Linked DNA regions of Struthio camelus. The protein of the gene in region 1 purifies or fractionates together with the protein of each later gene. This does not show direct contact. Links are inferred from orthologs where the notes say so. Each region holds a gene or a part of one and is shown in the gene's direction. Other genes may lie near its edges. The genes, in order: PRKACB, AKAP9, AKAP1 and VAPA.

The links.
Region 2: the proteins of PRKACB (region 1) and AKAP9 purify together in Homo sapiens (affinity purification with mass spectrometry; 5 studies listed by BioGRID and IntAct, counting the BioPlex papers as one, with this or other methods). This does not show direct contact. The link is inferred for Struthio camelus from reciprocal best matches to the Homo sapiens genes PRKACB and AKAP9.
Region 3: the proteins of PRKACB (region 1) and AKAP1 purify together in Homo sapiens (affinity purification with mass spectrometry; 4 studies listed by BioGRID and IntAct, counting the BioPlex papers as one, with this or other methods). This does not show direct contact. The link is inferred for Struthio camelus from reciprocal best matches to the Homo sapiens genes PRKACB and AKAP1.
Region 4: the proteins of PRKACB (region 1) and VAPA purify together in Homo sapiens (affinity purification with mass spectrometry; 4 studies listed by BioGRID and IntAct, counting the BioPlex papers as one, with this or other methods). This does not show direct contact. The link is inferred for Struthio camelus from reciprocal best matches to the Homo sapiens genes PRKACB and VAPA.

What each region holds. Positions count from the first base shown.
Region 1 is NC_090949.1:21,796,099-21,803,756, reverse strand, and holds the start of PRKACB (cAMP-dependent protein kinase catalytic subunit beta), read left to right. Parts: upstream 1-4,641; 5' UTR 4,642-4,722; coding exon 4,723-4,909; intron 4,910-7,658. UniProt on the Homo sapiens protein: Mediates cAMP-dependent signaling triggered by receptor binding to GPCRs.
Region 2 is NC_090943.1:26,951,171-26,958,363, forward strand, and holds the start of AKAP9 (A-kinase anchor protein 9), read left to right. Parts: upstream 1-4,180; 5' UTR 4,181-4,346; coding exon 4,347-4,394; intron 4,395-7,193. UniProt on the Homo sapiens protein: Scaffolding protein that assembles several protein kinases and phosphatases on the centrosome and Golgi apparatus. Required to maintain the integrity of the Golgi apparatus. Required for microtubule nucleation at the cis-side of the Golgi apparatus.
Region 3 is NC_090957.1:20,970,746-20,978,392, reverse strand, and holds the start of AKAP1 (A-kinase anchor protein 1, mitochondrial), read left to right. Parts: upstream 1-4,631; 5' UTR 4,632-4,650; intron 4,651-4,721; exon of another isoform or gene 4,722-4,798; intron 4,799-5,051; exon of another isoform or gene 5,052-5,179; intron 5,180-7,647.
Region 4 is NC_090943.1:116,078,922-116,086,405, reverse strand, and holds the start of VAPA (vesicle-associated membrane protein-associated protein A), read left to right. Parts: upstream 1-4,481; 5' UTR 4,482-4,781; coding exon 4,782-4,857; intron 4,858-7,484. UniProt on the Homo sapiens protein: Endoplasmic reticulum (ER)-anchored protein that mediates the formation of contact sites between the ER and endosomes via interaction with FFAT motif-containing proteins such as STARD3 or WDR44.

The sequences.
Region 1 (7,658 bases):
CCGTAGTATTTAGTATTTATCTATTTTTGTACTTCATTAAAATGAGATCTAAGATTCTCTAAAGTTAGAAAAAATTCCCTGAATTTGAAAGTCATGATAATGTTTGCATTCTTCGATATTCAGTTAAAGCAGGAATGCATAAATCCTGCTGTTACTCATAGTTATGTGCATATGCATAGAGTCTATATTTTAAAGAAATTCTTTAGAGTAGTGTTGCTTTGTTGTCCTGACCATCTATATTATTTGAGGAAAGAAGGGTACTCCCTTTCTTAAAAGTTCGTTTTATGGCTTGATTGGTACAGTGAAATTGCTTCCTAGAAAAGGAAATGGTGTTACAGTGAAGATAACTGAAAAGAAATTGTCCATGTAGCTGTGTTGTGCCTGACCTTTTCTCAGCAAGAAGCTGATTTGCAAAATCCCTACCTTGGTTACAGCGTAGCGTTTTGTTACCTGCAGCCGGGATAGCTGCGCTGGGAATTGTCTGCTGGGCAATGCACACAAGGTTGTGGGTTAGCAATCAGAAGAGTATAAATGGTTTTGTCATCTCCTTCAGGTTAAAGGATCCAGTGTTCGCCTTTTTCTGTGGCTGTCATCATTCTGTTGCTTTAAGTTTCGCTCTTGTAGATTCTTATGCATTTTTATTGAAATATTATTCACTGAAATATAGCCTTACACATGTAATGTGTATTCATAGCTTAATCTCTCTCCCACCTCCCTGGCTTTTTAATATATTTTAAAATATTGCCAGGACTTAGGTGATAGGGTTAAGTGGAAAGAGAAGTTGGAGTTTCATTATTGCCTGTAGAACAGAAATTTTAGAAATCGGTTAGAAACACTGAAACAACTAACTTTTTCAGTGCAAGTAAAACACGTCTTAAGTTGACTGCCTAGCTAGTTTGGATTGACTGTGATTGGAGCAGTTGGGAGGGATGCAGCAGACATGCTGAACCGCGGCTCGATGGTGCTGCGTTGCGTGCCGGCCCCAGGAGCTCCCCGGTGCCCCGGGCTGCGTGGGGCTGTGCTGGGTGAGCAGAGGGGTGCTTCTCAGCACTGCCTGGCTGCTGAACAGTGGGGCCGACCTGGACCGCAACTGTCTGAGGCAGCTGGCTAGTTTTAATGTCTTCAAGCATAAACCATTTTAGATAATAGTATAACAGAGTTTTATCTTTCTGTTAAAGCTGGCCTAAAATAAAGTGTTTTTTTTTTTTTTTTTTTTTGGTGACAAAGTGAAAAGTTTCCTAGGGACGGGACAGTTCCCTAGAGGCAGAGACTGTCGCTAGAGGAAAAAAAGAAAAAAATTGTTCTATGACAGTAAATGTATCCTAATCAGGCCTGATGTGATATGGACACATCTGTGCAGCTGAGCTGACCCATACCTGATCCAGCTTTTGTAGCACTGAGTTGGTAGGACATGGACGACTTCTGGTCTGGATGAAGTACGACTGTTTTGCTCTTTCAGGAGAGCGTACTGCCTTAACCACAGTAGCATAGTGATAACACTACACAGCTTTCCATCAAAGCTGCCTCCATTTCTTCTTCCCGCATGAAGCATGAGTAAGATGAGATTAAGGCTGCTTGCATGTGTCTATGTAAACATTTAGTAGTGTTTAAAGTTTCACAAACTGTTCTAAGGGAAAAGCATTACTGGCTGGCAAATGGAAATCCTTTTACAAGCTGAGCCCCAGAATTTTGTCATTGATAGAGCATCGTCAGTCACTGAGCTCTGTGTGTGTGTGTGTAACATACTGCCTATGTGGAGCTTGTGTGGTCCGTGCCTCATATGTAACAGAGAAAATACTTGGTGCCAATAAATTAATACTATGCTGATTTGTAAGATTAGTATGTCAGTAAGATGAATGATTAGATGAAAGGAAATAGGAGGGTCCACCTTTAAACAGTAGAGGAATGAGGGAGATGGATTACTTCACAGAAAATCAGTGTGGTAGTGTACTTTGTTGTCCTGGACAGTGCTGGTCTGCTTGTGTGTACTAGGAAAGTGTGTTACTGTCTGTGTATCGATATTTGAATAACAAACTATGGATGTGACCAATACTTTCTTTTTGTGTTTTGCGTGTGTGGAGCAGACCTTGTTCTGTGACAGTGTTCACTGGCAGTAGTTTGTAAAATTTTGGCAATTAAAGGTAAATCCAGGTTCTCTCTTTGGATATCTTCTAACATTCCTTTTTTGATGCCTGTTTTTACCTAAACCCGTTCAGTTCTTGGATCTCCAAGGATCGATATTTCTGCTTCCTGTTTTTTGGGACCTAGTTCAAGTATCCAGGTGTCTAGGTTAGGCACTTCATTGCATTCACAGCTCTTAATTTTGGTGAGCAGGGTTGTTCTCTGAAAATACCCAGATCTCTCCATTGACTATAAAGGCCACATAGACTTTAACTTACATAAACTGAATTTTGTGAGTTGCTGTCTTTGGGATCAGGGAGGTGAAATAGTTTAGCTGAAGTGTAATAAAAAATAAGACTACAGAACTGTAAAGGAAAGGGTGGTGGGAAGGGAGAGAGAAAAGTTGAACATACCTTCATGGCATGGGGCTTTGTTTATTGGGGGCAACAGCCAAGGTCAGAGAAGATGCTGAAGTCTCTTGGCAAGCTTCCCTGGATGCTCAGCGACTTGCACGTGCTGCGGGGCAAGGCCAGAGAATCCAGAGGGGCTCTTCTCGCCCCTGAGCGTTTTAGAGGGATGAGGCAATGAGCAGGGAAATAGGCATACTGTTTTTGTCTAGCTCTTTTTTATACTACTATATATAGAGTGGCACAGCATTACTCTAGCATAAAGTGTGTGGTTATATGTGGTGTATAATATATCCACAGGGCCTGTTTGTGCCCCTTATAAGGCAGGCTAATCCCCGGAGCGTTCCCTAGTTCCATGTTTCTGGCAGCAGGAGCACCGAACCTGCTGGGGTTTCCTGGAAGTCAGCATTGATCCTGGGACAAAGGAAGTAAAAGCCAGAGAGGCTGAAGGTAGAAAAAGAGCTGCAACGGGCTGAGACCCAGGGGAGGCTGTGGTGCCTTAGCCTGCTCCCACCAAGTAGCCTGGTCACCGGCTAGCTAGAGGGTGCTCAGCCAGATTTGCAAAATGTGGCATAAAAATGTGAGCGTTCAGGCAGTTGGTCCCAGCCTTTTGGACAGGCGCTGCAGAAAGAATTGCATCGCCAGAGTGCATCTAGAGCCTGAAAGCACAGGGCTTCTCCGCGCTGGGTACAGGTTCTGGGAACTTAAACTGTGGTGCGCCTGCTGGAGGGGGCTGGTGGCAGCAGCTCTGTAAGTGACCGTGGTGAGGAACATGGTCCAATCTGTACAGCCTGGCCCTCAGCTTTATTGTTTTATCATGAGCATAGGCATTTTTGTCATCATAGTGGGTTTTTTTTTCCCCTTGAAAACCAGAAGCTGTTATGAAATAGTTATGTAATGTCCAAGGATGGATATCTGATGACATTTGGAAACTACTCAGGGAGAAGTGTGGTGGTGAAAAGTAAAAGGTATATCTTTAATACGTGTTGACTGTAAGACAGAAGACAGATTGAGACAAGTTATTTAAATCTTAAAGATTTAGGACTATTCTTAAGTAAGTAACCACACTTTATGTGCTGGCGATATACTGGGAAACCTGCCCAATGTATGTGTTCCCATTTTCACAGAAATGAATTTCTTGTATTGTCCATCTTAAGCACGTAAAATTATATGATTTAAAAATAATATAATCTAAGCTAAATACTGTTTTCAGTTTATTTCCTCTATATTCTGAGCCATGATGAATGATGCTTTCTAGATTTATTCTGCAGTTAGAAGGATCCAAACATCTTGCAAAAAAAAAAAAAAAAAGTTTCTTACATAATTCCACAAGTCTTGCAGTTGGAGCTTCTACACCAGCAATGTCGTGAGCTGGGGACCACGACTTTGTGACTCTCCTTCCAGCTGCCTTTGGAGCTGGGAGAATGAATATGCTGTTAAAGGAGGATCTGCCAATGCTGTTCATTCTGATAGTTTATCCCTGAAAAAATTAAATTCTCTTGGTTCATTCCCAGAGTAAGCAGAACTCAGTATGAATAAATATAGTGTAGTCTTGTTTTTGTGTACTTTAGAATTATTGAGCTTCTTTTAGTCTGATTTTTCTCAACATAAACGAGGAGAATAATTTTTTTTTGCAATAACAAAATAATAGTTTCTTCAGTAGATTTTTTGCAAGTAACCTCCTTGCTTAGAAAGTGGTTCTATTGAAAACGAGAGCTTACTAATGATTATATTACAGCTGGTTAAGTTTGTTGTGATTACGGTAGTACTCCATCTTACCAAGGAGAGCTGCGGCGTAGTTACTTTCCTTTTTTCATGTGTGGCTGTGGTAAACTAGAAAAAAAATCTGGCTTCTGATCTTTATTTCTGAACAAGTTTCTGAACAAGTTTCTTACATTTTAATGTAAAATGTATATTTTAATATCAAATGTGAGTAAATATTAAACTGTAAAAGCACATGCTAGAGCAGTTTTTGCAGCTTTTTAAATAACTATTTTCAATTGACGTGAAAAGAGGCTTTTGACAGTATAAAACAGTACATTATAGAGCTTTTCTTAACAGGAAGTAGAAGAGAGTAGTGGTTAGAAAACACTGCCTACAGGAAGTTTGATGCATGCATTGCTCTTAGTGTCCCTGAGTTCAGCTCCTGTTAGATATTTTCTCTTTTGCTTTGCTGAGTTGCCAGAGCGCATAGATGGCAGCTCCGAAGGAGATCCCTTGCAACCAGTGCACAGGGACAGCCACAGCACTACAGAGACTGGAAGGTTTTGCTAATCGACTCTTTCATAGGCATTCGAAGGGTGGTGCACACGAACAGAGAGCGGCTCTGGAGAATGAGAGCCATCATTTCTCTGAACTTGCTGTCCTATGGGACAAATCAAGTAAGTAGGGTTTTTGTTTGTTTTTATAGATATTTTCTCTTCAGTTTGCACAGCAAGGGAAGAACTTGCATATTTGTAGTTGGATACAGATACTGAGCTGTGATGCATTCCAGAGGCAATTTTACAATTTAATACCGAAAGGTGTTAATTTGAAGAAAAACCTACTGCATCATGCAGGGGGAAGAGTGGTACCATTTCAGAGGACTGGGTGGCTGGTGGGAGAATTTATTCCTGGCCCCTTCTTCTCTGTTAAAGTACTGTTGACTTGTTTAGACAAGGTTTCTCCTCACCCGCAAATAATTTTTTGCTTATAAATTATTTCCTTTCTTTTCAAATTAAATCTGCTGGTTCAGCAGAAACAGAAAACCCATTAAAAAGTGTAGTGTTTAAACTTTGGAATGGGCAGACATTGCACAGATTAGACTTCTAATTACAGGACTCTTCATCATTTGTCACTTTATTTTAACATGTGCTATTTCAACATGTGCTGTATAGTGGTAAACAACATAATAGTTAAAACCAATTTTATGTATTAATTTAGTATGGGAATGCTGAATATCATTAGCTTTAATTTCTTAGTTAGCAAACCATTTATGATATGTGTTGCTTAAAACCTTTCATGATTGCATTTTGCGTAAGAGAAATGAGAGGTTTCAGAAATACCACAGTGTAAGTAAATTGTCATTTGATCTTCGTTTTCTTCTTTTAAAGCAATGCATTATTTTGCAAGTCAGTTATTGTCTTTGTGGTTAAATATTCATTTTAAAATGTTACAATATGGTAATTGATGATAATTTTGTGCTGGATTTCAGTTTCATTGATGGATTTGGAATAGCACAATTATTTCTGTTGGAAATAGGCCTTATTGGCCTATTAAACATCACCCTGTTACCATGAAGAAAGACAGTGTTAATCTTTCTCACTACTTTCAATTTGAAGTATTGTACCAGTGGGGACTGAATCTGTTCTCGGAGGAGATGCAGTAAACATGGAAGCAAAAAGCTGTTAATGCATTGGCCTAAAACAGATTAAATCTAGGTCTTCCAAATGAGATGGAAAAGGATAGACTAGTCTTGTTGGGAAGATAAATGATGAAAGTGCATGAATTGTGAGCCTCCATTCCTCCAAAATATCTTCAAGTCAGTAAAAATAGACACATGCTTGTGTTTATATAGAAGCTCTTTTTTTATATAAGTAGCTATTTGAGAAAAAATGACAACTGAAGCATCTTTGTTTATTTAATACAAAGAAAAAATGGTGTTGACCTACTAACATTTACAAATTGTGACCCGTTTGTGTACAAGTCTCTACTATTTTTTTTCCCCTCTATTTAAAGCAAGCTTCCTTGTATGACATGTTTGACAAGGAAATGGAATGTCGTGTCTTTTGGTGATAAACATGGTGAAAATGGTTGTTCTATAAATGCTATTTTAAGTAATGATTAAGCACAGTGGTTGTATATAATATTTTCCTAAGCAAAGTTAGTGAGCTGATAGCTGAATTTTGGCTGATTATGTAAGTTTGGGTTTAGGATGAAATTCTGAATACTTACCCTGAATATTTGCTCTCAATGCTTTGCTCTCAATTATCTCAATGATAGTATTTATTCAGAAAAATAACGAGTAGTTTAGGTACACATGGACTAAGTCTGCCTTTCTAGATTCTCATTTCACTACCACTTGAGCTCAAGAAATGATAGAGAAGATAGGGAGTATAGGGACAGTAGCGTTCTTGTGTACTGCTGACTTGCAGAAAAAGACAGCATCTGTGAAAATTATTTTCTTGCCTAATAGTTAAATATCATAGAATTGCATCAGGTCATAGAATTCAGGCCATAGATCAAATTCATAGGAAGTTTAACAAGCAAGCACTGTTTTAAAAACATCATACTGTTGTCTTGTAAGGATATCTGAATATTCACAACTATTCTGCCTGTATCACTGCAACTTATAAAATGTTCTTGTTAGGTTTTAGGTGAGGCTAAATAGCAGAAGTTTAGTGTGGATTGCTTCTGAAATTTGAGACAAAAGCGTTGTTTAATTCCCAAAAGAAGTTTGGGAAATGACTTCTCGGATTTTATTTATTTGTTTTTTTAGTTTTGAATTGGAATTAATTTGAAAAGAAAGTTAATATATTAACACCTTTGGCTATAATGAAATGTTGTAATAGATCTGTTTCTATGCATGTCCTCTACAGAGGAGTTACTGCTGAAGCTACAGCTTTGTTGAAGAGGAAGGAACTGCTTCTTGCTGGGTGGACTTTATTTGTTTTAAATGTTGTCCGTCATCCCGGGTTGTGGATTAGCTTAACTTGTCATGTGATTTGAAGGCTGTAGAGTTTTTCAGTGGTTGATTTTGAAATTGATTTCATGTCTTTGCTTCCTTGTTTTCATATGTAAAACAGGTTGTTTCTAACATGCCTTGGATTCCTGGTAATGTATGAAACCAAGCGAATTTATTTTGAAAAATGTTTTAGAATCTGATGGGTCAGAAATGCCTCAGGATGCCACAGGCCTTCGAATTTATTTAGAAAACTTGACTGTGTGTGTTAATGAAGAGCTTAAACTAGTAATCGGATCAATTGTGCTGTACAGCCAGCAGATGAAAGGGATACTGTGTTAGTCATCAGAGCTGTACATTTCTTTCTTAGTTTTACATGTCTTGAATATGATCAGCTGCAAGTATCTGGGGCCTGTGTTTTGATTTTTGTTTCATTTTGTTAGTTGCTTGTTGGTCTTTGGAAGATTGAG
Region 2 (7,193 bases), on another chromosome or scaffold:
GTTCTCTGTACGTTGGAACTCTGTTTTCTTAATCAGTGCTCATGCTGTTTCATGGCCTTAGATGTCTTTTTTCGTTTAAAAAAAATAGAAATTTGAGCTGTCACTTGAGACCTTGATTGCCACATTTGATAATTTTTCATATAGCCATGCTTCTCCACTGATTCTTGAAAGGAAAAAATACCCTATTTTCTCTTTAAATCCTAAAGTTTTCCTTACATCTCTACTTCCCCTACCTGTTAACCACCAAGCCTCGCTAGACTATAATGGCATTTGTTCTGCCATGCTTTTAAGGAGAGAACACTTGTCTGCTCCTAAAACACCTTATAAGGTAGTCCTGACAAATAACATACTTGAAAAATCCCTGAGGTAAAAGTGGCAGAGTTTTTATAAAATGCTTGTATGACACATAGATATAATATCTAAAGACAGTTGGCCAAGTTCTACCCATAATTTGCATTGAGTTGCACTTGCTAACAGCAAATTAATTTGCTTTTGTAACGCTCCCTCAGCAGTACCTACAATGAGTCTCTGAAATTATGAGCTTTACACATGTAACCTAAATCACCTGCCTGTTGCAACCATAGCAACAAAGCAGCTGCAGCCATGCTCAGTGCAGCTGTGGAGCAGATGGGAAGGGACAGAGCTGGTGCAGAGGCAGAGGTAAGCTAGTCATTGGTAACCTCACATTCTTTGTACAATCTCACACTGAGATGGAGGCAAATGATTTTTTTTTGTTATAAGCACTATGACAGGTAAGCACTGAGGCCCTGTCTTACTATCAGTAAATAAAACTCTGCATCTGCTTTCATTGAACATAGTGGGATCCTGATCAAATAATGCCTCTGGCACAGTCACCTCTCAGATGGAGGTGTCTCTCATTTTCACATCACTCCATCAATTTAACGTTCACTAAAATCCAATGTATTTTCCTGTCAGGTAGGCTTTGTACATCAGATCTAGTGTCACAAAAGAACAGTTAGGCATTTTTATCAGAGGTTGCATATCCATTGCCAGGAGGACTACTCTACTGCATTACAGTGAATCAATACACACGTTGACGAGGAAATACACTTTTAGCTTTCTTAAGACACGTAAACTGGCATGGTCATTGTATCGGCATTAAGAAAACATCTGACTGATGTGATACAGCTTGTTTGTTTGTTTATTTTGAACTAGTTCGGGGACTCTCATGTAGTTCATGAGGGAGATTTCCATTTCACTACTTCGTTGTTGTTATTGAATGAAATAAAGCAGAGTTGGATAGTCTCATTATTCAGTGGTATTGCTGATTATTATGATGCTTGAAAACAGAGAGTATCTGAGGTCCTTAGTTGTTGCTGTAAGAGATTGTATTATCAGTTTAGGCCTCTGATATTTTGTAATTTTGCACCCTTTTTACACACCTGATCTACCAGCAGCATGCTATGGTCTGATAGTCCTTTCTGATTCTGGCTTCCGTGGATTGTGAAAGAATTTGAGTACCCTAACTAGAAATTAGTGACTGTCACAAGTTGTCCTTCAGCTTCATCTTTTGGTTTTGCAATCCACTGAAGTCCACTTTGCAGTCCATTGAGTCACCAGACATGCCTTCACTGAACAGTGAATAAAGGAAACAAAAGGGATAGGAAAGAGGTAGAGTTTCATCATTACAGAAAAACGCTAGAGGTGAAGAGGCCTTCGTCCTTGTTTACAGAGCAACACATCTAAAAACTAGGTTTGATATTCACAGTTAGTTCAGTGTAGTTATTTACAAATATTTCCAACAATAAATATATTTCTCTGTAAAAATAACCTTTGGCCAAAACAGTAGTCATTCATATTTTAGAGAGTATCAGATGTACAGTCTACCAAGTAACTCAGGTTCACTTCACATATGCTACTGCTGAAAGCAGCTTACACATGTTTAATTTATGTGCCTTCAATGAGCATTAGAAAGTTACTTCAAAATATTGATTATTTGTAATCCAGACTCTTCAACAGTGTCTTCCACGCTCAGGAAGGTGAATATTATTGGTCATTTCTGAGAGTTAAGCAAGCAAGCCTTTCTATACCTGAAAGTATAGAAACCTGACCAAGTTTTGAATTCCAGTCAGCTAGCCTTGCATAAATTCTTAAAATAGGAATTTAACACAACTGAAGTAGGAAATCATACTGTATTTGATTTTTTTCTTTCTTAGAAAGCCCAGTTCCTTTGCAAAAAAATAAAGAAATATTATCTTCTGGGATATTTTATGCAATAGTAATTTCCACAGTACTCTATAGTTTGTCTGTCTGATTTTTTCACTTTCATTGCCATGAATTAGGTGTTCAGCTGAAATCCATTAGAATTACATGGATATAAGCCTCGTAACTGAGAGAAAAATTAGACGCATTGGTTCTTAGCTTTAACTCAAGAACCCATTTAATTATGGGATTTGAGGAGTTTGTAATTATCATTTAAATGTGATGTTTACTGATAAGAAATTACTATCAAGGTGAAATTACTATCACATAATGCACGTGTGAAATTTTACTGACACCTAACAGCTAGTTCAGTGACACTAGACTCCTTCAGCCAAGAGGAATTTCATTTGCACAGAAAAAGTGATTTTTTTCCTCAGGGCCTTTGGATTCTCTGTGAAGGGCCTGAGTGAAGTGTTTCTTCTGCTAACTTGAGAACATGTTTTCCAGAAAGGATCTCAAATCAATTTTTATTTCTATAAAAATATTTCTTCTTTAATTATTAATTTCATTTTCATTTGCTTTTTTTCTATAACGTGCTTTTCCTGCAATGCAATAGCGAGGCCCGAGAATTGTAACTGAAACATGTGCTTGTTTCAAATACAGAGCAAAGTATACTATTGCCTTCCATAGGATGGCATCATCTTCTTTTGACATTAATGGCATTCATTTCCTTTTCTACTGCAGTTTGTAGGCTATTATGTTGTAAATACAGCAATACACAATACATGTACTGAGCAACAGATGATTTCAAACTTTTCTGTGAAGTGTACTTTCTTTTAGGAGCAGTGAGGAAAACTTTAAAAATTTCATTTCAGATTACAGGTTTAGTTTACTTTGGCAGTAATATGGGTGTGGAATTTTTCTGCTTGGAGTCCTAGTATTTTTCCTCTTGGTCCTGGTCAGTAATACTGTGCAAATAGTTTTTCCTGTTGCCATTTTTTTGGTGCATCTGGGCTTTGCTGGAAAATTAAAGCAAAGGAAGAACATATATTAAATACAGTACATAAATTTTACACTGAAAAACAAACATTTAGTGGAAAAGGTGAATTGTGTTAAAAAGATCGGCAAGTCTGAGACGTAAATGCAGTTTTGGATTTCACGTTTAATACGGCGGAATGGTTCCAAATGCAGAATAAGGAATGTGCTTGTTCACATGCAGCTGCTGCACACCAACAGAGAAGGGCCGCCAGGAACGTGTGCATCAGTGCCGTCCATCACCTCAACAGCAGTAACACTCACCCCACAGGGAAATGAAAGAAAAAGCACGTCACAAACATGTAATGCAATTTCCTATTAGCCTTGCAAGGCACACGTTCACTCGATAACATTAAGCAATCCCAGAATATTGCTTCTATTGACTGATGAGGTATAGAAATTGTGTTAGCATTTAACTGCCACGTGCCAAACGGCCTACTGTGATTTCTAACAGAACTATTTCAACGTCTCTTACATGAGGTCAGCACTGTAGCCGCAGAGGGCGGGCTGCGCAAGACACAATGCGGCAGCCCCCCCGAACTCCGCTACTGTCCGTTCGGGTTTTTGTACGAAGGGGCCCCAGGACCGCCGGCCCCTCGCCAACGCCGTTGTTTCGGGGGGAGCGGCCGCCCCTCGCCGTTCCTCCCGCCGCGAGCAGCCCGTCCCTGCCGGTGCCCCCCGCTCTCTCGGCGGGGAGGCCGCGGCCGTGCCCGCGCCGGGCGCGGGTGGCTCCGCAGCGCCTCAGGCCCCTCGCCGGAGGCGTCCGTCAGGTGCGGGGCCGCGGCCGGGGCAGCGCCGCCTGCCGCCTCTGCCCGGGCTCGGCGCGGCGCCCGTCGGGGCAGCGGCAGGGGCACAGGCGGCGCCGGCCACACCTGCCGCGGGCGCGGGGCCGGCTGCCGGGAGGGAGGGAGCGGGAAGGGACGGCGGCGGCTGGAGGAGGAGCAGGCGGCGGCCACGTCACTTTCCGCGGCCGCGTGTTTACGTGGAGAGGAAGATGGCGGCGCCGGTGGCTCCGCCACGGCAGCGCCCGTCGCTGTGAGACGGCAGGAGCGCGCGAGGGTGTGCGCGCCGCGCCGGGCTGTGCCGCGGGGGCGGGGTGGGCCCGCCTCCGGCCGCCGGTAACGCTCTGCTCTGCCCGCACAGGCGCCATGGAGGACGAGGAGCGGCTCAAGAAGCTGGAGGCTGGGAAAGCCAAGGTGAGAAGCGGCGGTGGTGGCGGCCGAGGGGGCCGGAGAGGCAGGGCCGGGGGGCGGGGGAGCGCGGCAGGGGCTCGGCTCGGCGGCCCGCGGCGAACAAAGCGGCGGGCGGAGGAGGCGCTTTGTGCTGCCTGCGCCGCCGCCGCTGGGGCTGCGCTGGGGAGCGGCTGGGGGCTCCGGGCCGCTTCTCTGGCGGGGGCGGCAGCAGCCCCCCCCCCCCCCCCGGCAGGGCCCCGCGCCGCCTGCCCCGCGGAACCGGGGAAGGGCCGAGGAGCAGCAGAGCTGAGCTCGTTACCCCTTTAAACTTGCCACGCACATTCCCGTTTGCCTTTTAAAACCGAGCAACTCCCTGAAACAAAAATCCTATAAAACCTTCCAGGAAGTTTGAAAAAACGCCAGCTGGCTCTCAGTGTGGCACTAATGCGGTGAGATGGTATTAGGAGGCAGGGAGTTAAAGACGCTTCCATCTCATGTGGTGCGGTGCGTTTGTCAGTTATTTTAATACGCCGGATAGTATAAATGTGAGTGGCTTCCAGAAGTTAACGGTAAGGTCTCATCACCTTGAAGCCAGTGGTTCCCGGAGGCTTAGCGTGCCGTGGTCACTGCACGGGCAGCTGCTTATACTGTAGGTAGCCTGCTCATCGGGGTGTTAATCGGGAGCTTATGGTTTTACTCTTCAGTGCGGCTCAGTACACCCTGGCTGTAAAGCACTTCTTCACCTTGTGGGCAACAGGCCCGAGTTAACCGTGATCTAAGAGTTCATCCGTCTTAATTTAAAAAGCTGTGATACGGTCAGTGGCATAAGGCCATTATCAGCACTCGTAAATAAATAAGGTAAAAGTGTTTTGACATTCAGTATCGCTTTGTTCCTCCCAGCAATTATTGCTAAAGGGTAGATTTAGAACCTTGTAAATCAGTCATTCACGAAGATGCAGATTTAACTTGGCATAGGCTAGCAGTGCACCTAGTGAAAAGAAAAAACAAAGATAAAGCTACAAAATAGCAGCATTGTCTTGCTGTTATAATCTGCAGAAAAGTAGCAGTAGTTCAGCTGTTAAGTACTGAATAGATATTTTTGCTGTGTTATCATAAACTTTTTGTAACTCTGCACCTGTTTCTGTTTCTCTTGAAGCAGTGGTCAAAAGTATCAAGAAACTCTTGTATATGGAACTGTATATAGAAGAATTTGTTCTTAAACGCTTAGAGCAAAAATGATGTTATGCAGTGCTTTTAAAAGATACTGGGACAGATCAGGTGGCTGGTACTGGTGGCAGTCTTGCGTTCTTTTGCACCTAGCATGGCTAATTCTTTTTCAGAAAATTAAAAAGTAGTCCACAAAGAAAAAGGTTGAGGTAAATCTCTCATTGTTCTTGTGATTTGTAACAATGGCAAATTTCACTGGGATGTATATCTTTCTGTCCCTGTCTGACAATTACTGAAAAGTCAACCCAAAGCCAGGACTCCAGCATAAATGCAGTGGTTTCCATCTTATTTTGAGAAAATACATGTATACATTTTAGTAGTTTTGTTGCACTTTAGGAACAGTCATAACTCTCACCCTTCTAGCCTTCTCTGACTGAAACCTAATGACGACCTTCCTGTAAGTATTTGCCTGAAGACTTGCATATACCATGCTTTTAAACATCCCTTGTGGTTTAAGTCATTATAAATTTTTAAATCTATGTGATTTACGTGGTAAGGGACTATAAAAGCAGTGTCAGTTGTTCCGATTTTCATTAGTCTTCTATTTATGCCTTTTTTACACGTGAGTGGTATAAGTAAATTTGTTGTACTGCAGAGGCTACGTTACGCTCTTCCAGTGACAAGCATCGCTGATGAAGATGGAAGAAATTCTGTTAGCTGAGAATGGAAGTAGCAACTGCTCCTCCAGCCACTTCTCTCCTCCCTCTGTCCCCTTCCCCATATAAACACATTCACAGTACTGTGCTCAGTATTGCTCCCCACATTGTTTGGCTTTGATGCCAAACTTTGATGTTTGTAATGCAAACCATAGTAGCATGCATCCAAAAACCTTTTGAGCCTAACCACTGAATGTTCTTTAAATAAGATAGCTGGAAAAATATATTACAGTATGTATTGTGCTAAAAGCAGATATTGCTTTACTTCAGATACCTTGCTGTTGCTCTCAGAAATAATACATTTTACGTATAAATAAGATATGACGTAAACTGTGGGATGGATGTTGGTAGTTGAGGGAAGCCAGTAGAAGAGTCTAGTAGACGCTATGGAGGTTCGACAGTGGATTTGTTATTCGAAAATGGGACTTATGTTCTTGTTTTTTTTCTCTAAAGTAGATAGCTAACTACTACGAAATTTCAGTTTATGCAAAATGAATTTTCTGTTAAACAATCGTCTGGTTGTTTTCTGATCATAATTTTCAGTAGGAAAGCTTTGAAATTTGGTTTTCTGTGAACTTACTTGCTGTGGAACTTTACTTATTTTTTATTTTATTCTTGATGTTGTGTTAGAATTCTGTCTGTCTGCACAAAGCTTGCGTAGAGAAGCGTATATCAAATGGGTTTTGTGCAAAGGAAGGTCCTTTTCTTTGAGTCTTTTTTATTCATGTTGGAAATGAGAAGCTGCTTTGTGTGTCTTCTCTTGATTGAATGGAGCTAAGTGTACGCAAGCCTGGCTCTGTACGAACACATCAGCCTTCTCCAGTAGACCATTTAAAAAAATGGAATAAAAAGCTCTTAATGGAGATTCACCAACGTTCATGTGTATTTGCTGATGTTTTTCTTTCTCTCTCTTTTTTTTTTTTTTTTTTTTAAGAATACA
Region 3 (7,647 bases), on another chromosome or scaffold:
ATGAAGAGTACTAGTGACCATTCCATTTCAAAGCAAGTACGTTCCTTTCCCACAAGTAAAGTTCATGATTTATAGGTGGTGAATCCTATGTGCCTTGCAACGTTGGTTTCTTCGGTTGACTGCTGGTATGTTTAACGAGTCCTCAAATGAAAATAAATCCCAGGGTTGTGTGGGTGGAGAGTGTAGAATAACGTCTCCTGTGATGTGACTTGTTAAAACAAGTACAGGTTTGTTCTTCAAAGCAATAATGAAGAAAAGTCTGATGATTGTCTCCCTGGGGATATTCAAATGATAGGGCTATAAATAGGAAAGAGTAAGTCTAGCAACGTGCTAAAGAAACTCCCACTGAACTATTAAATTGTAATTTAATTTTTTTTTTCCTCGTAGCAGACTGCCCTTCAGAAAAGCTAGCACGATCTGTTAGGCTGCTTTTACCTCCTGGTTAATGTATTTAGAGCGTTAGATCCGGCTAGGAGATCTGGATACCCTATAGAACAGATTTCCTGAGATGAACAAGAATTGGGCATCCAGACCTCCTCCACAGCCTTCGAAAACACAGGAAAAATCAAATGGCTGGGTCCAGAAGAGAGCTATCAGGAAAAGGCCTAACTGGGATTGACTTTTCCAAGCTCTGGTTTACTGACTCAGTTGCCAAAGGCTACTTATGTTTAAGGTATGGCCATAAGACTCCAGGCCACGGTGCAGTGACTACCTTTGCCTTAGCTCTGCTGGGCTCCATTGCCTTTGCTCTAATTTGCTTTCTTTGAAGCTCCTCCACTTGCTGGCTGTGCTTCCCCCGCTCCTTACAGTAGCAGCCATGGAATTTTTTTTTTCCTTTCCTTGGTGGAGAAAACCCTCCAAGGGCAGTTTATTAACTGCTCCCTACCCCTACTAGAGCTCAGTCATTCTCAGAAAGAGGCCTGGAGTGCATTTAGCACAGCGTCGAGCAAGTAAAAGAAAGGGCTTTTCAGTTCTCCTCACAGCAGCTAGCACATGCAATGAGAAGGCAAGGAACAGTTCTGTGCAGTGTGAGAGACCCACCCAACTATCTGTAAACAGACATGACTGAACGTGGGCTGGAGACAGGGCAGAGACAGCAACACTAAGGCAAAGAAGAGGCTGGTTCAGAGCAATACAAAACATACAAAAGCTCCAAGTCTCCAAAATACAAACACAAGGAGGCCACTGAGGTGGCAGGGGCAGGACAACAAAGTGAGGGAAGGAACCTCTTAATTTACCCAGAACATATAGCATCTAACGCCTCAGTGCAGTAGGGCTCAAACAGCAAAAGTATGTGCTGTTGAATATTGACTTACTCACGTGAGACGCAGCTCACCCAAAGGTGAAAAGGGGCCATCACCCCGCTCTGTGCATTCTGTCCCTCCGAAAGCTGCACTGGATCTGTTCTCCAGGTCTTATTCTTCTCTGCTCCTCCGCACAGCCAGGCCCATCCTTGTTTCTAGTTCCTGGTCTCATACAATTCCTGAAAGAGGGAAAATTACTGCTATTCCCTTCATCAAGTACAGTGCCCACATGGCTGCACTACTCCGAGGAACTCCTGTACAGAGACAGGCATGGCGCTCAGAAGTGATACACCCTCTCACCCATGGTAGCTCTCTGCCTTTTGCATGGAGATGAGGGGTCTGTCGTGGCTGTGGGAGTGGGACTCTTCTGCACTGCAGCATTTGGAGCAATGACCCACTTACAGACAGGCGAAACCAAGCTTGGGCTAAGAGAAGGGAACCTGCTGTATCACTCTGACGCTTGGATCACATACCCTGCAAAGCAACTCAGCAAATATGCTTCTGTTGGCTTTAATTTTCCAGTTCTGTCTGAGATGTTAATGGGTATACCCGTGATTTACAACAAAGGCATAGGTAAAAAAAGCAAGAATAAATTAGCCTTGAGGATGCTGACATAACTTATCTGTTCTTTTCTTGGTTTCACTAATCCCTTTTTCCTTGTATGGGGCCAATTTTTCTTACCAGAAACATCACTAAAATTTAACAAGCCACCTAGAACATTTTCCCACTCATCGAAAACTCAGAAACATGTACTGTTTCTGCATGAAAAATGTGACTTATCAGCCACAGAGGCAGTTATTCATTCTATTAGCAGTTTGTTTTATTTGACTTTTAGTTATGACTTCCGTATTACTCAACAGAATTTTATTTTTTCGTTTCACTATAGTAAAGCTTACAGACTTCAACTAAGATAAGCGCTCCACTAGGCTATGCAATCCATGCAGGGTAAGATATCGTCCTTGCCCCAAGAACTTAAAATGTTTACAGTCACTTCTTGTGGCTGACACAGATTGTCTTCGTGACCTTGGATAAATCTCTTAACATCTCAATACCTGAATTGCCTCACTCAGTTAAGGATTGCAGTCACTTGACAGGAATTCTTATACAATCTTCTGAGATTTTCAGATTAAATATATTAAAAGGGCAAAGTCTTAGCGTTGCTGGCTTTTTTTTTTCCACTTCACACGTTATGCATTTTACCATCTGTTAACTGATGTTTCTAATTTATGACTGCTCTAAACAAAAGAAAATGATTTAGGCAAACCAGGAACTTTTCATAGAAAAATACTTATACAAATGAGTAATTTGGGAAGACAATCCCACTCAGACACTATTTTGTGATTTTTTTTTTCTAAGTTACTCATTTACACTGTCAAACGTACTAACTGCCTGCTGCATACACATGTAAATGAACAACTGAGCAGTTTTAATTCCAGTTACTAGTAACCAGTAACTGGTTAGTAAGGCCAATAAAACTACCTTGATATCCGATTGTTAAAGTGTTCACAACAGTAGATTTCCTGCATCATTTACTTAACTTTTATTATAGCATGCTGTTTACAGCTGGGCAATATAAGAACTGAAAGAAGTTATGTAGCATGAAACCTTGGTTACTGGAGAAAGGAGGCTAATTTTGAGCAATTTGTTGCTATCAGACGAAGATGACAAACAGGCTCTCACAGGTACGCAGACTCTAAGGATGACGATTGAGGCTTTCACATACTGCTGCAGCTCCTGCTGGTTATCAGCAGGAATTACTCTGTTTTAATGGCCGAGTCCTCACTTCTTTCTCTGCTGTCCCCTGCTACCTCTTCTTCCCCAAAGCATGCTTGCATGAGCCATCTCTCCCTTGCCTATTTCTTCCCTCTGACTTTGCCACTGAGTATCAAAATGATAAAAAGCTGCTTGAGTCATCCCCTTGGGAAATCCAGAGCCACCTCTGCTACCAAGAAGGCTCCAGTGACGAACCGAAACCAGTTTTCTCTTCTCACAACATAGAAACAAATGCCAAATGGGTGCAAGTAAAGCGGTTTCCCCAGAGTACATCTCAGTGCCCAGATGCAGCAGGTGCCCTCTGGTTTGCAGCAGGAGCAAAAACTTTGCTAGGCTGCATGGAAAAGAGAAGCATCGTAGAAAAAAAACTGATTCCCGTGACTCCTTGCCTTTCCATGCAACTGTGCTGGATTATTTGGAGAGAGGCTTCACCACTCCCAAACTGCTCTTCCCACAAAGACTTGGCATGGAGGCCACGCTCCTCCTGTTCTGGGTGTTAACAGTTTTATTAACACAGAAATTAACAACGCTTCACCATTAAGGTCGGCATGGTGAAGGCATGGCCGCGGCTCAGATTGCTCAGGCCGCACCCTATATCCTTTTCCTCTTCCATACCAGTCCGCAGTGCAAACTCCCAAGCTCCTTAGAGTAACGACCACCACTTCTCGCACTCTGCTCCAAGTGACTTGCCCAGAACTGTCCTGCAAGCAACCCTCAGAGCGAGGGGCAGAACCGGGCCCTGCACACCGCTCCTGGGCGCTTTTCAGCTGCGCTTCCCCTCCCCAAATCCTCCAAGATTCCTTGGGACACAACAGTCATTTACACACCGTATTTCTCTTAGGGATGCAAAATGCTCACGGTGGGATGTAAAAAGCTCTGGGGGGAAATGTAGTTAAGTGTTTAGCAATGAAATGAAAACATAACCCTCATTAAACCCAACGAGCACTACTGCCTCCAAGCAATTACCTCGCTGAACATGGATTTTCATTTGTCAATCCGGTTCAGCCGTGGTAGCAGAGACTCGGCCTGGCATAGCTGCTGCCTTACCCGACGGCTTACTATTTAACACCTCCTCATCAGCTGGGCGCCGGGCAGCACGTGGCTAACACTTTGCCTCCTAGCAGAGATCTGACTACGCGTCTGAACGGCCTGGGGGCCGTGGCCAGCGCCGAGCCCCATGAGGGGACGGTCACAGGCTGCGGCTGTGGGGCTGAGGAGAGCCGCACAGTCCCGGCGGGGGGCAGGGCTGACAAAGGCGCCCGACTCCGCGCTCTCTGAAGGAGGGAAGTCAGCCACCGAAAGCCCGGCGGCAGCGGGAGGCGCAGCAGGTCCTACCCCTCCGCAGGCGCCGCGGGGTGGGGGGGGCGCCGCCATGCCGGCGGCCGCCGAGGCCCTCGCGCGCGTAACGGCCGCTGCGCTGACGGTTGGGGGGGGGAGGGGACAGAGGGGCGTGCGCAGGCGCGCGGGCGGGTCTCGCGCGGCGAGGAGCTCTCGCGAGAGTGGGCGGGGCGGGGCGCGCGGGGCCGGGCGGGGCGGGGCCGGGCGGGGCGGGGCGGGGCGGGCGCCGGTGCAGGTCGGAGGCGCCAGTGCGCGGCGGGGCCCGGCCGGGCGGCACGTGGGGACGGCGCGGCCCGCGGCGGGCGGGGGGCGGGCGGGAGCGGGACTGGCGCCGGGCACCGGGCACCGGCGCGGGGGAGGGGGAGCGCCGCGCCGCACGCACTGTAAGTACCGCACCCCCCCCCCCCCCCCCCGTCCTCAGCCCCCTCCCTGGGCCTGTCAGCCGCCAGGCCGCCCCGGCGGGAGGCCTCCGCGGCGCGGCGCGGGCCTGGCGGCCGCTCCCTCAGCCAGGTCGGGGCGGAGCGGAGCGGGCCGGGCCGGGCCGGGCGGCGCGGGGCTCCCGCCGGCAGCCAGGCCGCGCCGGTGACCGCGGCGGGCCAAGGTCAGGGGCGGCGCGCTCGGGGCCGGCCGGCCCGCGGGTCACCCCCGGCGGCGGCGGCGGCTCGGAGAGGAAAGCAGGGGGCGAGCGGAGCGCCGCAGGCTGGGTGCTACCGGTGGGGATGTCTCGCGTTGTCTGCGGTGCGATAAAACTCACTCATAGTCGGGTAAGGCCCCGTCAAGCTGGTATTGACAAACTTCTCGTGTATTGGCCTTTTTTGTTTTTTTGGTCTTTATGGCAGTGTATAGCGTGGTGTGTAGTCAAGGCTGTAGGAATTAAATTGCATTTCTCCTCAGGAAGTAATATCCTACTGTCCTTGCCCTTCTGGAAGAAGTTTTGTTGTTTTGCTCTTTATTTTTTCCTTGAGGGAAACAAGTCTAAGCTACTTGTGTGCCGGGGTTGGGCAGCTTGGTCTGGGTCTGGCTTTCTAAGGTCTTTGTGGCAACCTGGTAAAGCATAATATGAAGCTGCAGCTGTGGCAGGGCAGAATGAGTAGGCATCTCGCTAAGGGCATCCTTTTCATGGCAGGTGATCTGCAGTGATAGGAAACAGCAACTGAAGCTGCACGCTGCCACGATCCACATGGCAAGGAAAAGTAAGGGGCCATCGGATGGAAGTAATTCTGACTTTCTGCGTTTCTAGGCTCGTGTGCTGCCTTCGTAAGGTTGGCTGTTGTGCCTACACCTGCTGGGTGTTATCAGAATTGCTGTGGACTTTGTCTCAGGTGAAAGGAAGTGGCTTGTTGCTGGGGAAAGTGGTAGCAGGAGAAGGTAACTTTACTTTTCTCCTGTTTGCTTTGTGCCTGTGAATGATCTACTGAGTTACAGCCGTATGTCTGGGTGCAGTATAGCCAAGGAAGAGCACGTGACTTGCTGGAGTGCAGCACAACTGCTTGTAAGGGGTGTGTGACTTTTCCTCGGTAGCACGTGGATTGGAGCTGTCAGAGCAAGGGAGCTGAGTGGCATTGGCTCCTCTGCCAATGGGTCACTGTGTGACCCTGCTCAGATCACTTAACCTCCTCATTCTTTAATGAGCTACCTGCGTAATGGGTGAAATACTCTGTAGCCTTCAGCTGACCTAATGTGCCTTTCATCCAGTAATCTTAATGTACATATGATGTAGCCTGAAAAAAAGGATAGTGCAGTTTCACTATATGTGTCTTGATTACACAGTTTTATTCTTGATTAATTGGCTTACATGTAAGTGCTCACCTAATGCTGAAGAAAATTAAAACTCTTTAGTAAGTTAAAAGGAGCAAGAAACCTGTAGAACTCAAGTTATGCTGTAAGCTTACTAGAACCCACCTTTTCATTACATAACTTTCTGTACCACTCACCTGACAGTCCCACAGCTTCTGTTTCCAGTGCTCCTTTGAGCTCTCCAAGGACTTCTAGAAGCTCTCATGAGACAGCAAGGCTTGGGGGAGTTGGGCACGCCAACCTCACTGTGGTGGTACAGTACCTTGCCCAATGGGGCCAATGATTGTTTGCTCTGCCAGACGTGAAACAAAATCCTGGAAGAGGCTGTCCAAGGATATCATTAGACTCTGGAGGAGCTGCATGAGAGGGCTGTAGGAACCCAGGTTTTGTGTGTTCTTGTAGCTGCTGCTTATTTAGGTGTGCTCTCTGTAGTCGCACCAAGTTTCGATACCTGGCCGAGGATCCATGTTCCATCTTAAAGCTACCTGGAGGTGCTTTGGGATAGCTACGTTGAAAGTCTGTCTCTATCCTCTTTCATCAACTGCCTAGAAAGCCTGGGCTTTAACCTAGGCGTTCCCCAAAGCCTGAAGTTAGACAACAGGAATTCCCCTTGCCAGCCACAGTGTGAGATGAAGGCACCTGTAGTTCAGATCCATCATGCTACATAGGTTCCTAATTCCTGCAGGTCCTCATAGGAGTTAACTATGAGAGGAGTCTGGTTGTTGAGGATTGCAGCCAAAGCTGTTCAGAGCCAGAAGCAGGTGACTTGCTACACTGAGACTCTTGTGCTCATTTCAAAAATGTTGCAGGCTGTCTTTTGGGATATTTGAAACAAGTCTAGTTTTTGCAGTAGTAGAGTTATCTGAAGAGCGTAATGCTTTTAAAGCAACATACCCTACTTATCTATAGCGCTCATCTTCCATGTGCGCTTAACTAATGTGAGCAATTTATTTAAGGTATTTCTAATGTCCATGGAGACTGTAATAAAATCAGGCTTGGTATCCCCAGGTGCCCTCCGCAACATCTAGAAGTAATTAAAAAACATGAATTACTTTCAGTTATTTAATGTTTGAGATCTAATGGCTGGCCTTCTTTAAACTGTGATTTCTAACTACAGTGCTCGTGTGGAACTCTTCACGCAAATGGCCTGGTTAAACTTTGTGAAGTGTAACTTCAGGCAGCCAGTTTGAAATACTTGTAAGGAGCTGTTTTATTCAGCAGGTGCTTAATATTTCCTGGAAGTTAAGGCTATTGAGTTTGCTTTTCGCAGGGATCCCAGAAGGTGATAGGTTTGCATGTAACTCATTGCTTTGCAGTCTGTGTTCAGCTGCTCTACTTATTAATTGTCCCCTGCAGGAGTTCTGTGCAACTTTGCTGCTGCATTTTATACACTAGCTGGAAGCTGACTATTAATTTATGGGATCTGTACATCACT
Region 4 (7,484 bases), on another chromosome or scaffold:
GACGCTGCTGCCATCATCGATAATGATAACTACGTACAAAAAGGGTCTTAATCTCACCCTTACAAAAAAGAAGAAAGACCAAAAATGTTTGTGGTCAAATCATAGCTTTCTGCTGCTGCAGAGGAAAAGTAAAAGATCTTCCAGTGACTAACCTCACTATTGAAAGGCTCATATCATTCTTGTGTGCACTCTAGCAGATGGAAGCATACTTATATTTGACTTAACAATGTATTCCACCAAGTACAGGAAAATAACATAAAACCAACACATTACACATTCCATGTTCTGTATATTCAGTTGTCTCATTACATCCCTCATGAATGTATGAGAATTGTAAGAATCAATTGCCGAAAATGGTGTTCAAAAATCTGTTCCCTTAACAACACTGTCATTTTTCATTTGCCTTACACTGATGTGTCCTTGAATGTCTAATGGCTTTTAGCCCATTTTCAGTTGGCTGAGGAATCAGTCAATTCTTTAAATGCTAAGGTACCACCAATGGCCTCGAGCATTTTTGTCTTCAGCAAGAAAAGAAGCAAGTCCAAAATATGAAGTGTACAAAAATTTTACACTACAGCTATTTATCAGGATGCTATTATGTTTTGTGTTACTGATTGTTTCCCAGGATTAGTTTTTCTCTGCTTGCCTATTCAAAGTACATTGTATGTTTTTATCATAAGGTCACTAAGTAGAGAAATACCCTGTAGTTGAACAAACTTGAAGATATCCAACTAAGACCTACTCCTCTGGTCTGTGCTAACATTTGAATAACGCTATAAATCTATAATAGTGTGGACTTTGGTTTTACCTTTGATTTACAATATAACAAGTGGGCCTAAATTTATATTTGGAATTCATTAGCAGCCAAGTAAATTATGACTACATCATGCTTAATCTCTGCGTATGCTAAGAATAGTTTTGTATTTCAAAAGATAAATTGCAGCACCAAGAGGCAAGTTATTTCCTTAAAGGGAAATTAAAATGTTCTTTTACCTGTATACCTTTGCTGACTTATTTACTGACTTAGCAATGGAGCATGCATATGATACTTCAGTGAGCGAGATCTAGAATTTTCCCATTAATATGACAAACTGATATAGCACTTAGTTGCTTTTTCTGGCAATCTTAATAACAGCAAGAAATTGCCAAGAGGGTCACGATAGTCTTTCATTGAAAGACATTTTCAAGTTCAGAATTGGTAGGACTGAATAAACCACCTGAATAATAAACAGTGCAAAACAGTATTATGAGACTGAATAAACACTGATACTTCTCAGGTATAGAGAGAACTCATTTAATATTTAACAGCAAACGGTTTTGAAAAATGTCCAGCCATCTCCAAACTGAGATATTATAACAGTGGTACCAAACTCACCGTGTGAAAAACATTAAGATCTACAAACACACAGGACAAATGTTAACCTGAGATTAAGCAAATGTTAGTCTTCTGCCAGCAATGAATACACTAAGGATACTTCTGGGATGACATAATGATCTCACTCAAATCAGTGAGAGGTTTTCCACTGACTACAATAGAGCCAAGATTTCATTCCTCAACTTTGCTATGATGTGTTTAAAAAAATGAATCATATGTTGGAGAAGGCTGCCAGGTATTGCTAATCAACAACATAGGTTTTGTTTAATATAAAAAATGACTTCAGTTTGGGTGAAATAGCAGTACTGTGTAAAGCATGAGATCAGAAATTATATTAAATGCAACAAAATACATTAATGCATTACTAAGGTTGTACATGTTTGAACAACAACAAACACTACATTAAAAATACATGTTCAGGAATAATTGCCATTAACCCATTCACTCAGTGTTTATGTACTAACTTTGCCTTTACTGTGAGACTACATGAGCAGAACCCTACAAACATCAAGGCATACAGGCAAGCATTGATACAGGCTGCCCAAGAAAGCTGTGAAATCTCTGTCCTTGGAGGCTTTCATACCTAACAGGACGAAGCCTTGAGCAACATGGCTTGAACTCAGTTTTGACCGCCCCTGCTTCGAGCAGAGCGTTGGGCTAGAGCCCTCCTGAGGCCTCTTCCAACCTGACTGGTTCTGTGATGCTCCCTCTGCTAGCAAAAACGTGCTTTGGGCCCAGGCTTGAAGTCCATTCAGTTCCTCTTAACGTGCTGCTGAAGAATTAACCCAGTCCTCCTCCAACCTGCACACACCCACTGATGTCACGTGTCATAATCTAACATGCAACCATGTATATCATCAATGCGTTTGCACTGAAAAACATGCATGAGAAAACCTGTCAGACATGCTGTCATGTTAAGGAAAGATCTTAACTCCTGTTTCTCCTCAGATTTTCCTATATCAGAGTTGTATAAAAGAATTAGAAAACACAGGTATTTCTCTCTTCTGAAACTAGATTGAAGGAGCTACTTTTGAATTTGTGATCTCTACCATTATTTTTCACCCTGTTAAAAGGAGAAAGGATAGAACCTTTCGTAGCGTTTAGTATTTTAGAGCAGTTCTCCACGTCTTGATTCTTTGAAAGCCAAGACCCAAAAATTCTTTTGGTATGGAGAAACTCGGCTTGGGTTAAGTTCACTTATCACTTCTGAGAGGCATACATTGTGGCTTAATCTTTGGTGGATTCCTGAATAGAAAAGAACAGAAGGTGGAGGCAATAGAGTAACTGTCCTGGTTAACAACAGAAGAACAAATATAGTAGGACAGAAAAAAATGTATCTGTCTTTCACTTTATCTTCCAGATCCCAAGGGCAAGAATGCATAAACAGAGCGGAACATGGTAATGCTAACAAAGCCCAGCATCAGACAATAACTTTAAATATGTTGTACTGTAAATAAAGACACTATTTAAGAACTTATTTTATGGGCATCATAAAGTAAGTGTGTAGCAGGAAAACTACAGCCAAAATAGTTACAGGCCTTTAGCAACATTTTCAGGTACGTACCACAAAACTCCACCTATTAAAGCCAATTGCAATTAGGTAAAAATAGGCTGAGATACTGTTCTACAGTGTTTCTCAACATATTTCTTCTTCAGTCAGTGACAATATTAAAACTCACATTAGTGTGGTAGAATGTCTCAAACCTTAGGACCAAGAAGGACCGGTGCCAGAAATACTGCCCTTGGGACAGTTACTCAGACTGTTGAGGCTGAGGCAGGAGAACTGCTGGACCTGGTGGCTTGAAAGGGATGGCATGGACAAAGGTGCTGAAGAGCTGATAGAAGGAGACACAACAGTGGGAGACTAGGAGCAGAGGCAGACAGCTGAAACGGAGCGTGAAAGCTCTGCCCAAGCCAAGGCAGAGCCTGGACCTAACTTACGCCGAGGGCCTCCCCCCGCCGAATGGCCTCAAAACCCTTCCTTGTGGTTGTGGCTGAGGGAGGCGTATTCAGCGAGGAAATGAAGCGAGCCTCAACTCTTAACCATGGTGAGTTCGTGCTGAAGGCCATTTAAGTGATTTTTTCAGTGTATTTATCAGCAGGACATATTTTTCAAATAGGTTATTCTCCTCCTGTACATGTTCCTAGTATACTTTCACCAGATTGCAAGAGTCAAGAACTGCTTTCATGCCGGTCAACAGTGACCCTTAAAGCAGATGCTGGTTCTTGGTGGAAATCAGGAGTTAGCTAACATTTCGAGCCACACCTCTGGAAACTCCTTCCCTGCTGCTCCTCCACCGCCTACCTTAAAGCCAGGTGGAAGATGCCCTTTCCCCCCCCTCCTCTCTCTGATCTTGCATGCTGCTGCCCTGCTTATAACCTGGCTTGGGCCTTTCACCCCGGCGCGCCTCGGAGCGAGGATCGTTGTGCCCTGGGACGTCGCTGCGGGCTGCCCTTGCGCAGGCTGAAGCCCGTCCGCGCAGGCAGCCCTCCCCGCGGCGGACGGAAAGGCCGCGTCTCTGCCCCCAGCATGGCGGCGGGCCCCTGCCTCAGCCCCAACGGCCGCGCGGCACGGAGAGGCTCCTCACCTCCCCCCGCCCGCCCCCGCTGCCAGCCCCACCGGCCGGCGGCCACCCGGGGCGGGGAGAGCGCAAGGACCACAACTCCCAGCACGCAACGCTTCCGCCCGGCCGCCGCGCTGCATGCCGGGAGCCGTAGTCCCTCCAGCCGAGTTTTAAGCCGCCCAAAGCGTCGAGCCAGGAGCGCGGCCCAGTATCTTTCCCGCGCATGCGCATTGCTCCCGCCTCGTCCTCCCGAAGGAGGAGGGGGCCGTTGCTCCTTTCCGTTCCCCCTACCCCCCACCCCCGCCGCTCGCGCGCCCCCTGCAGCTCTAGCGCAGGGGCAGTTGGGAGGGGCGGGGCCGGGAGGGGGCACCGCGGCGCGTGATTCGCCGAGCGGCGGCATCTCGCTGGGTCTAGCTGTCAACTGGCGGCGGGGGGGGGGGGGGAAGTGAGGCGTGCGCATGCGCGCAAGGGGCCCGCCGCCGCCTCCGCCGCGCCGCCGCCCTCGTGCCTGCGGAGAGGCTGGCGTTGCCGGCCGTGCGCGCGCGCGTCGCCGGGCTGTTGAGGCAGTGCGAGCGGGGAGGCGGCGCGGAGGAGCCGGGAGCGGGTGTGGGGCAGCAGCGCGCGGAGGGGGCGCGACGCGACGCGACGCGACGCGGCACGGCGGCCGCCCCTCGGCCCGCGACCCGGCACCAGCGCGGAGCCGCCGTCCGCCTGCCCGCTGCGAGGGAGCGGCGCCACCGCCGCCGCCCGGCCTCCCCGCCTCCCACTCCCGCTCCTCCTCCTCCCTCCCTCCCTCCCTCCCCCCCCCCCCACTCCTCCTCCCGCGGTAGCGAGTGAGCGAGATGGCGGCCGCCGGGGCTCTGGCTAAACACGAGCAGATCCTGGTGCTCGATCCGCCCACCGACCTCAAATTCAAAGGTGAGGGGGAACCGGGCTGGGCAGGCCGGCCGGCCGGCAGGGCGGGGGGGAGCGGCGCTGCGGCGGCCGGACGGCCGGGCTGCGCCTCGGCGCTGGGCCGCTTCGAGGCATCTGAGCTCGGCTGGGGCGGCGGGGCCGGGGCGCCGCCTGCCCGGGGCCGCCGTGAGGGTGGAGGGGGCGCCGCCGAGCCGGTGAACGGGCTTCGCCGCCGCCATCTTGGGATCCGGCGGGGACTCGAGCGTGTCCTCGGCCCCGGCAGCGCCGCGGCCCGGCCCCCGCCGGACACGGCGCCCGCTGCTCGGCCGCCCGCTTCCCGCGGGCGGGGGTGGGGGCTGCGTCGGGGCCGCGGAGGCTGCCTTCTTCCCCGCCCCAGCACGGTGCCGCCTTCCTGTCCCCGCTTGTGCCCCAGACGCGGGCACCGGCCCTGCCGTGTCACGGCTCCGCTGGGGAGGCGGGCGGAGCCGCGCCACGGCCCGGCCCGGCCCGGCCCTTTAGCGACGGGGCCGGCTGCGGCCGGGGAGGGGCTGGGGTCCGGCCTCCTCCCTGGCAAGGGGGAATCGCGCTCCTGTCACTTCTGCGGCCGCAGGGGTCTGAGTGGTTGCGGATCCTTTCCCGAGCCGCTCCGTAAGGTCTCCCTCTATCTGTAGCAGGTAGGGGAGACCCAGGAGCGGGTGCCTTGCCGTGGTGCGAGCGAGCGGCGAGGGGAGCCGAGGAGGAGGACTCGGTTACCTTCGCATCTGGCCTTTTCCCTCTCCCGCGCTCTGGCCCACGGTGTGGGCACGCCTCTTGAGTCTAGCTGTTAACCGGTGCTGATATCTGTGGTGTTATTTTGCACCATCACTCATCGGATGTGTGAGCAGGTCACCCGCGCCCTCTCCCTGAGGGAATCTGACCCACTGGCTTGGCGAATGACACCCTCTTCCTCTGTCCCCCCCGCCCCCGTTTTCCCCTGGGTGTCATGTTTCAGGCAGGTTGTCAGTTAATACTTGGACTTATGTAAAAAGGCAGTTCGCTCCTTGGGAATGAGAGAAAGGAACGTGTGCATTTCAGAAGTTTCTGTATTTCAGGTATTTCATGCCAACCACATGACTATGAGTGGCATGAGATGCATCTGTCGGAATAGGCTCCAGTCAGTGCTTTAGCATTTGGGTTTTTTTCCCTCCTAATAAATCACAAATTAGATGATTGTGAAAAGATAAGCTCTTTCCAAAGCTAAGAGGGATACTTGATAAGTAGGGGTCTAAAAAAGCATGGTATAATAAACAGTTTTCAGTATTCAGTGAATTTCTTTTTAGTACCCATGATGAGTATTGAGAAAAATCTCCATGAACTTTTCAGTTTCAAAATATAAGTTTAAATAACATTGATCATGTTAAAAAAAATTAATGTTGCTGATTTTAAGTTTTGTAAGCAGCGTCAGCATATGCACTTGTCTAATCCTGTAAATTTTTCTATTTTCAGTAAGCTCATTTTTATATTGTCTTAGGGGGATAAAGCAGACTTTATGATGTTGTAAATTTTTTTTTTAATGGCCGAGTAGAGCAAATAAATATTTGTTTTACAGTGAAACATTGTATTCCCCCCAAAATACCTTTGATTGGCCTGGCTTTCATAAATAAAGCTTAAGTCTGGTTTATCATAGAGATTTATAACAAATTGTAATTGTTTTATTGATCCATCAGATCAATTAACCCAAAATCTGTTGGATCCCACATCTTCCTATTTTGACAGTTTCAGTTTTTAAATTGCACATTCACAGAGCCAAAACCATAGTGGAAACTTAGTTTTTTCACTTGTATTTTGTGTTATTAAAATGCTACCATGTTTGCCTGCACTTGAAATTTCAAGACACTGTGCTCTTCTTGTCAGAGTAAGTTGGAGGAAAATTTATGTATATTAAAAAAAAAAAAAAAGTTGCCATGTCTAATTTGCAGCTTGCAAACACTTCCAGCTTGAAGAAACTCTGTAAGTTGTATTTGTGTGATACAAACAAACTGTGGATATAAGGAATACCAAATAAATATTAGATTAGAAGGTCTGTGTGAAGCGACTGCCAATCAGTAGTCTTTATTGGGGTGTGTGTTTACGGTATGAAATAGGTAATCTTTAGGCATGAACTTTGGTTTTGGGCTAATGCATGTATGACGAAAACTTGTGTAGAGCAGACTAAGGAAAAACAAAACCTGAAGCATAATGAGACTGTAGTATTTCAATACACTGTAGGAAAAGCAGCACATCAAATGCTCTCTCAGTAAATATTTTCTAACTGCTTATTTTTCTGAGCTGTTTAAAAAAGTTTATGTACCACAAACAATAATTCAGTTCTAAAGTATTGCATTAAATAGTATAGTAGTGGCAGAAGGAAATTCTGAGAATTGTCTTTTAAAAACCAGATTGGTTAGTAAGAGAGAGTAGGCCTCAGAATAAGTGTAATTATGTGTAGAAAATCATGCGCCTTTGTTTAAAAAAAAAAAAAAAAGTATTTTTTTTTTCAGTGTAGCTGATTGTTCAAGGTTCTTTTTATTGCAACAATTGTCCATGGCTGTTACTGACCTGATAGTGATGATGCGTGTGTAACAGATCAGATTTAAGTCTAAACCTCTGAATAGAACAACATAGTTTTGTTG